Linked DNA regions of Oryzias latipes. The protein of the gene in region 1 purifies or fractionates together with the protein of each later gene. This does not show direct contact. Links are inferred from orthologs where the notes say so. Each region holds a gene or a part of one and is shown on either strand. Other genes may lie near its edges. The genes, in order: rnf123 and ubac1.

Region 1 (4,407 bases):
TGAGGCTGATGGCAGCAAACTGGTTCATTGATATTTTTTCTTCTAGGCACCAACGACAAACCTGGAGGTCCTCATTACGTCCTAAGGTGGACGTCTCCTCAGGTGGTGAAGCAGACGCACGTCCCCCTCAGAGACTGGAAGTACCCCTACATGGGCTGAGGTCTCTGTCAATCCATCCATCCATCCTCTTCCTCCTTCCCAGTGGGTCCCTCTCTGCACTGACTGTGACATTACCGTCCTCCTGGAGCTCAACTTCCATCCTATTTGTCGTTAAACTCCAAGTTCAAATCCTCCCCCCGTCCTGACTTGGAAGGCGCCATCCATGTTCCTTTTTCTTCAGCTGATCAGATAGCCTGATCTCTGGATGAAATCCACTGGAGCTCATTCAGCTGAAACTTCCAGAACACCCGTCTTCTGTTTGATTTGTTCTCTGTGAAAACAAAGTCGATCTACTTATAGAATTGTAGAAATAACAAATAAATAAAAACCGACATTAACTGAGTGTGTGAAAACAGAGCCTTAGATCGAAGATCTTCAATATATTACCAGAGCTGTGAGAGAAAAAAGAAGAGGGCTCATTAAACTATAGTTGATGTTGGATCCGGTGTTACGAGGGTCTGTGTTTGTCCTGCAGATATTTGGTGTTAAGACCAGCCTGTTCTCAAAAACACTTGTACTTGAATGTCTGCAGCTGAGTGTGCCTACATCAGCCTTTAAGATCATTTTTAGCAATAAATTACTATTCTTACAAGCTGTGCTTTATTCTCAGTTTCTTTGATCCTTTCAGGAAGGTTTTGGTTGAGAGACATGCCTGGATGCTCATACTTTATTAAAAATAATTTCTGTTTCAATGAATGTTTTTTGTCTATGTAATAAAAAGATCAATTGACTTAAATGCACCACTAAGATCTAAAATAATAGACCATGAGGCCACAAATAGATGAAGCTTTTATTGACCCTACGACAAGGGAAATTGATTTACCATAGGCATAAAATAAATAAAAATAAACCAACTTTTTTAACTTTTTGAAGAAAATGCTGACTGAAAATCCATAACCTGGTCAGCTTTATTGCCTAATCAAGTAGACCACTTTAGTGACAGTTTCTGTATTTTTGTTTATTGATTTGTTTTTAACTGTAGTTTAGCACTTTCATGAGCCAAGGGTCAGCAAATGTGTACCGTAAACACACTTAATTTGATTAAAATAGGTTGGAAACGTCTTTAACAGTTTTCCAATTTTGTGTGTGTTTCTAATAACACTTTCTCTATTCTCGCGTTGTTTTCTCTGACGAGATTTTAATGTTGGGGGTTTGACCCTCGCAGCTCCCCGTAGATGTGAGGCGTTGACTGCTTGGAGTGTTATTGGACCTTCTGCTCCGAACCACGGCTGCTCTCATCTTCATTTGCCTGATTCACGGACAGGGCGGCGGTGAGCGGCGGCAGCAGCACAGCTCTGTGTTCGGACGGCGGGGCGCGCCGTTTGTGGGCCGCTGTAAGTTAGCAGCGGTCACCCGCAGCTGTTAGCCTGCTTGTTTAGTTACACCGCTGTAACCGGCTGCTCGTTCGCAGCTAAACCTGACCAGACCGGGCCGGGTTTGGCTGGGCTGTGACGTGACGTGAATGTCATCCATCTGAGCTCCGTGGTGAGCTGTGGACATAAGACCGGTGGCTGTGCTCCGCCAAGGGCTAGTAGTTGCAGTGTTAGCAACCGGGACGGGTCATTGTTGTCAATGGCTACGTCACGTGACAACATTTTAGAAATATACTACTCGATTACTCTGATTTTAGTCTCAGCAGCATGTTTGACAGTCTGCTTACCACCTGTATGTCAAAAAAACAACCCGAACATCTGCCAATGTTTTTAGCTGCCTGTCATCTTCACGGTCCATCAGATGTGGGAGATAAACACGTCATAGGTGTAACTTTCCCCACACGTCAATGAATCATAAGCCTTGACATTCAAATCTAGGCTTTCAGATCCATTTTCTACAATCTTTTCTCCTAAAACATCCCATGTCTCTTCCATCAGTGAGAGATGCTCACCCAAAGCTGCAGGACGAAAACAAGCTTCATGCTTGTTCTTCTTCCAAAAATGACAAACCAGATTAACTGAAAGAGAAAAAAAAGTAAAGAGGATTCATCTATAGATTACATAAATCGATTTATTCTTTTAAAAGCAAAACTCAAATCAATCCAAATCAATAGAATACATTTTGTTAACATGTCACTGCTGCATGTTAACAGTAAGGTTCTGACATTGTGGATGTTAATGTTAAACACCTACTCCGATGACATTTGTGTTTTTGATGTTTCTAACTTGTTTTTGTGGCGTTTTTGTCACGATGGAGGACACTTGTAAAGAAAATTAAGTTTTAGATTGCATTTCTGAGTACTTCTTTATTCAAATCGGTGTGAGCGAATCAGGAGCGGACGAAATATTGCCCTTTGAAAAAGATCACATTTGTGACGTAAGAAGTATGATGGGCAGACCACAGGCTCCCTGCTCCGCTCCATTCTGATGCATGTTCTTGTAGATGTCCTCATTTTCCTCGTCTGAGCTGGTATCTGGCTGACACAGGTTTTTTTTAATTTTGGTTCAATATGGGGACAATAATTAAAAGACCTCTGTGATGAAAAGATGAATGGCGTTGGTCTATAAGGTTATAATAAAGGACTTATCCATCTCAGGACATGGATGTCAGCATCTCTGAGGAAGTCATGCACAAAAGGACTTAAAGAAAGACAGCAAAATGATTTTTTAAAAGCTCTTCAAACTATTAAATATGTTATAATGCATCAAAACTCAGTTGCTGTCAAATGTATCTCTGTGTTTTCAACTTTAAAAAGGTTCCTGTTCTTGCAGTTTCTTTCTTTCCTGTCCTTTTGAAGGAGTATTTTACTTTCTAAAGATTTTTTAAGTCCAAGCAGTTCTTTTCTGTCACCAGTGAACAGGTCAGTGGACCCCAACTGACAGAATGACCACGAGGGGGGGAGGAACCGCTCTGACGCGCCGGAACTACCGGCTGGCTTCGGACACGGACAAACCCAGAACCACCGGTACGCCAGCAGCAAGTGGGCGGGGAGTGGTAGCATCAAGGCAACAGGGATTAGATCATTTTTCAAATTCCTGCTCTCTCATCATCTTCATACATGCACAATCTCAGATGTACAACTGTGTGTTCAGGTCTTCCTTCCTTCCTGTAGGTATCGTGAACGAGAAGCTGCTCAGCGATTATCTGCATCACGTCTTTCCTTCTGCCAAACCTGGAGCTGCTCCAGCCACGCTCAGGTACCCATACCTGCTTTTCATCAGCATTTCTAGAGTATCTTTTACTCTTAAGGAGAAAGTCTCTGCCAGATCTTCATTTTTAGGAAATTAAAAGTTTAAAATTCAAACACTGGTATCGCCTTATATCAGAATCTCATTTTTTAGCAAAACTTAGTGCATCCCCTGTCAAAGTGGTCCCCAACCCCCGGGCTGCGTACCAGTTACCGGTCTGTCTCTAAACAAAGATTTATTTTGGAAATCTACTGAATTCTCTTCACCACATCCAACTCATTATCGAGGCATGTCAAGTCGCTCGGTCACGTGTTAAAAATGCATCCACTGCTTTCTTAAAGTGTCTGCGCTGACTGCTAAAGTGAAAACCCCCAAGCTAGCAAAGTTAACAAAAAACAAATATATTCGAAAAGTTTCTTTTTGCAGAAAAGAGCCAACGAGGAAACAGAAGAAGAGTCTTTGATTTCAAAATAAAAGAAAGTTAACATTGAACAAAACCAGGTGTCTTTATTCCAAATATTGAATTATTGTGACAGTTGTCGCTGTCGAGGACGCTGCTAATAGTTCTTCAAATGGTGGATTTATTTGGGGTGCTGTTTGTAAAGCTGCTGAGTTAAACATTAACAGCATTTTAGGAAAAAACAGCAACACGGGTTTCATTTTTCAAATGCATATTTTCACCATTTAATTCACGTATTGATAAATGTTACATTTACTAACTAAATATTTAGTTAGCAAGCTAAATATTTACTTTAAAGTGAATTTTATTTTTATAATTAAATATTTATAGATCTCTCCTAAATATTTATTTTAAATACTTATAACATTTGACTGCAGCTTTACAAACGGCAAAACATGGATTTACATTTATGAATATGTTTAAAAAATATGAGGCTTCAGATGAGTCTGAATTTGGCGTCTGATTTTTAGCTTCTTCTTTCACAGTTATGGGTTAAAAGAAAGTCTTTATCACATTTTAATGGAAATCTAGAGAACAAATAAAGTTTAAAACAAACTGCAGATATTTCACAGAGGATTAAGATAAACTTTACACTCAAAGGTTTAAAGTGAAGGGAAACTGGAAGCAAAAAAGAAAAATGGCACGCCCACTTCAGGGTCGTACATG
Region 2 (4,356 bases), on another chromosome or scaffold:
AAAAATGTCTTGTTATAATAAATGGCACTTGCGATTCTCAAAGTGATCAGTTTGGGGTTTTTGTAGTCCTAAAAGAAACTTAAATGAGTGTTTAGTTGACGTTGTGTACTCTTGTCGTTTTTTTATTTTTTTTAATTTTTATTTGCAAATGAACAAAGCAAATAATCCGTTTTCATTAAAAGATTTCATGGTTGTCACGTGCAAAAAATCAAATTTACTGTTAAAATTAGTGATTGATAAATGTATATGACTATTGGTATCTTTAAATTATTTTAAAAGTCAAATTGATATTTTAAATCACCATTTTGTGGGCGGGACCTGCAGGTAACCGAAGAAACTAAAGGTCATTCAAAACCTACAGACTCACAGATTATCTTCTTTCTCCTCATCTTCCTCTGTGAAGATATTTTTTCCATGTCTCCATCTAGTGGCATGAATTTAAAAGCCACAATTTACCTTTTATTCACTCTGGTAAAAATAAAGTAAAATTCAGATGCAGATGAATGAAGGACTCAGTATTGAAACACCACTGAAATAGTTTAATGACTGATCATAAACAGTTAGAGTATTGTTGAAACAGGTGAATTGCTCTTAAAAAAAGTTTAAATTTCTGAAAAACAGTTAAAGTACAGGGGAAACAGTTGAACTACAGTTGGAAAAGCAATTGAAATCCTGTTTGACAATAAAACAATGAAAATAGTGCTGGAAAATCAGCTAAAGTAGTGTAAAAACAGCTGAAATGTTGTGTTAACAGCAAACATACTGTTCAGAAACAGTTACAGGATGCTGAAGACAGGTGAAATGATGTAAAAGGACTATTTGAAATTTTGAAAAGCGGTTGATTTAGTGTTTAAATAATGTTGAAAACAGCTGAGGTGCTGTTGAAATAGTTAAAAATGTTGAACTACTGTTAATTAATGTTAATTGATTCCCGTTTAACCTTTCTTTCCAATAAATTCGATAACAGTCTTAAACAAGTCCAGATTAAATAATGACTCAAAGTCCCATAATGCACCAGCACTCGTACAGTTGCGGGTCAGAGTTCAAACGTTACAGTAAAAATAGGATATTCGCTGGTTGTTGCCCTGTGTGCTTAGCGGCAAAAAACAAACAGCTTGGCGGCCTCGGAGCTCGTCCCTCGGTTGTCGCCGGTCCGAGAGTCCGAAGATGACCGCCAGCTGATCGGTGCCGTTCGGTTGTTGGTGGATTTACCCACGGCGGCTAGCTGGGGGCTCGCGCTAGCAGGCTAGCAGGCTAGCTCGCTGGGACGAGCCGAGGGGAGCAGACAGCCACCGCCGTTCGTTCGCCAGCGTCGCCGGGCCCCGAAGACCGCGGCAGCCATGTTCGTCCAGGAGGAGAAAATATTCGCGGGGAAAGTGTTGAAAATCCACATCTGCACCATGGACGGTGCGGAGTGGCTGGAGGAAGTCACGGAGGACACCACGGTGGAGAAACTGAAGGAGAAGTGCTTGAAACATGTAGGTTTGTTGGAGGTTGTTTGGGCTACTTTGTTGTTTTGTCGTGTCACTGCCCTGCCGGGGTGTTTGCTCTTTGCCCTCGGGGTAAACCGTCTCCAGCTGTGTATTTATAGTAACTGGGTAGACTCTGCTATTTATAATTGAAGAGGCTGGCAGCTTCTCTGCAGCTTCTGCAGCTAAACTGTCCTTTTCTGTCCTGCTCTATTATTACCCCGCTCACCTCTCCTCTCCTTATATGGCCCTGGCAGGAACTCAACGGGGGTCTATTATTTCTCCTTTATTAATACTTTAGATTCCTATTACTTCTGTGCTGACTGACTCCTCTTGGGTTCCCATCCAACCCACTGAATTATCGTGAAAGAAACTTTTATTTAATTCAAATTCACTCCACTCGGTGAACAAAACGTTGGTTTTTATTTATTTATACTTTTTATTCCTGGAGAATTTGGACTTTTACTCGATTATATTTATGTCAAATCAAACAGTTGTTTCCAGGTGAAGAAAGGTTTTTTTTTTTTTTTTTTTTTTAAAGTTAGTAACTAAATCTCGTTGTTGCATCAAATGAATGAGAGCAAAACAACATTTAGAAAATATCAGGAAAAAGACAAAAACGACCGACATCCGCAGCTGGTAAATGGGTAACTTTGATCACGGTAACCACGGTAACGGCAGCTTCACTGCTGGAAGAATTCAGCATCCAGAAAAACTTTGTCACTGCGTGAAGATGGGTTTTAGTGAAGATAAAACAGTGTTGGTTAGTAAAAATACCACAAGCCTGATCAATCAAACATTTATACAAGAAAGAAACACTGACAGAATAATCAATCGGTGAGTTAAATCCTATAATAGAAAATATTGAATGTTAACTCCTTCATACCTGAATTTATAAAACATATAGTCATTGTTTTGTCCTTTCCAGGTGATGGTAAATGAAGTCCTGGATTTATGGCTATGAACGGACGTCAGAGAAGGTGTAACCTAAATAAAGATATAGAATCATAGAAGTGTTGGAAAAACAACTTATTCTCAAGCTCCAACATTAAATCTGACGAATTGTTATTTGTTTTAATTTACTATTTGGACAAAATAGAAGATTTTAAAGAATTTTTTTTATTCTGTGGGTCAGTCTTAAAATTTCTAATAGAGAATGTGGTTTTATTAGTGGTTTATTTGTGCTTTATGTGCTACTTATTAGTTGTGCGACTCATCTGACAAATTTATTGGAGAAAGTTTTGATTTGGCCAAAAAATCTAGTTTCTCTTATTTTGATTTTATTCCCTATTAAACGTTTTGTTGTTGTTGCTAAAACGCTGCAGTTAAATGTAGTTTGAAAGATGATCCTCGTTGTACGTTTTACTTTCTCCACAAAAACCGTCAATTTAGTTTGTGTAAAATGGAAACTTTCAATCCTAGTTACCCTGACAGAAACATAAATAATAAGAAAATTGGAGAATAAATTAAAAAGCAATATAGTAAAAAAAACACTTTAATTTCTTTAAAGATCAGTATAGCACCTTAAAAAATAAAGTTTTTATTTATTATTTCTATGACAAACATGGTGTAGAGAAAACAAAATCATTAAAAAATAATCAAAAAACCAATGAGGTAATATTCAAATACACCTTATAAAAATTGCTTGGGTTTCCTTTTGTTTAAACAACATTTTGAGCAGCGTTTTGATATGAATGCTTTTAATTTGAAAAGACAACGTCAGCTTGGAGTTGACTTCCTCCACAACTTGCTGCCACTGAATCAGAAAACCTTTATTGTCACCGTCCGCATGAACAATGAGACTAAAGATGTCAAGATGCAAAAACTATACGGACATACATGCACACAAATGTGCACACAATATGTGGAATACAGTAATCTAGGAAAAGTCTGTTGTAAATCAAAATATTAACAGAATAATTACTGTCCATTGAATGAAAAGGTAATAAACATAATAAACAGTAGTTCTGTGACTAAAGAGCGTTGGGTCTTATTGTAATGATAAAGCGCTATATAAGAAGACGCCATTGACCCTTTAGGTTAGAATGATAAATACACAAATATACATGTACTCAACAGATACACACATTTGATTTCTTCTGTTTGTTTTTTCGTTGTTTGATTTTGCAGTACGTTCATGGAAGTCTAGAAGACCCCAAAACTCTCACCCACCACAAGCTCATCCACGCTGCTACAGAGCGAGTCCTAACGGACGCCAAAACCGTCGCTGACGAAAACCTCAAGGACAAAGGTACGCGGCGTCACGTTTGCAACCTTCTCGCTCCCGTTGCTGCTGACTTCCCATCATTTATCTGCTTTGTGCGTTTGGTTTCAGAGGTCCTGCTGCTCATAAAGAAAAGGCCGCCGCCGACGCCTCCGAAGACGGCAGAGGTTGGTTCAGATGAAAAGGTAAACGCCTTCTTTTTATGAAAAGGCTCCGCATGTTAAGCTCCTTATTAGCAGTTTTTTTTGTTCGTCTCTTCTCAGAAGAAACAGGACACCAAAGCTCCAGACAAAGACGCCATCCTGAAAGCGACCGCCAGCTTACCCACACGGCACACGGACCGCACCGTCACGCAGCACAACATCAGAGATGTGAGCGTTCAAACTCCACGGCCTCCGGGTCTGCAGCCGCCCGCCGCCTTACGCTTCCGCTCTTTGTTCCAGTTTCAAACCGAGCTGAGGAAAATCCTGGTTTCTCTCATCGAAGTTGCTCAGAAGCTTCTAGCCTTGAATCCCGACGCTGTGGAGCTCTTCAAGAAAGCCAACGGTGAGGCGGACGCTTCCTGTCACGCCTGTACACTAATGTTGCTGCTGGAGAATGTGACTTCAGACAGAAAAGTCTTTTTAAATGAGAACAAAACATTTCCCAAATGTACATAAATCT

What was found.
Region 2: the proteins of rnf123 (region 1) and ubac1 purify together in Homo sapiens (affinity purification with mass spectrometry; 7 studies listed by BioGRID and IntAct, counting the BioPlex papers as one, with this or other methods). This does not show direct contact. The link is inferred for Oryzias latipes from reciprocal best matches to the Homo sapiens genes RNF123 and UBAC1.

The regions. Positions count from the first base shown.
Region 1 is NC_019863.2:20,427,950-20,432,356, forward strand, and holds the start of rnf123 (E3 ubiquitin-protein ligase RNF123), read left to right. Parts: upstream 1-1,299; 5' UTR 1,300-1,493; intron 1,494-1,570; 5' UTR 1,571-1,686; intron 1,687-2,946; 5' UTR 2,947-2,976; coding exon 2,977-3,058; intron 3,059-3,205; coding exon 3,206-3,290; intron 3,291-4,407. Other genes in the region: aldh4a1 (delta-1-pyrroline-5-carboxylate dehydrogenase, mitochondrial), read left to right, coding at 47-159. UniProt on the Homo sapiens protein: Catalytic subunit of the KPC complex that acts as E3 ubiquitin-protein ligase. Promotes the ubiquitination and proteasome-mediated degradation of CDKN1B which is the cyclin-dependent kinase inhibitor at the G0-G1 transition of the cell cycle.
Region 2 is NC_019867.2:2,169,492-2,173,847, forward strand, and holds the start of ubac1 (ubiquitin-associated domain-containing protein 1), read left to right. Parts: upstream 1-1,340; coding exon 1,341-1,478; intron 1,479-3,599; coding exon 3,600-3,720; intron 3,721-3,804; coding exon 3,805-3,878; intron 3,879-3,956; coding exon 3,957-4,064; intron 4,065-4,136; coding exon 4,137-4,239; intron 4,240-4,356.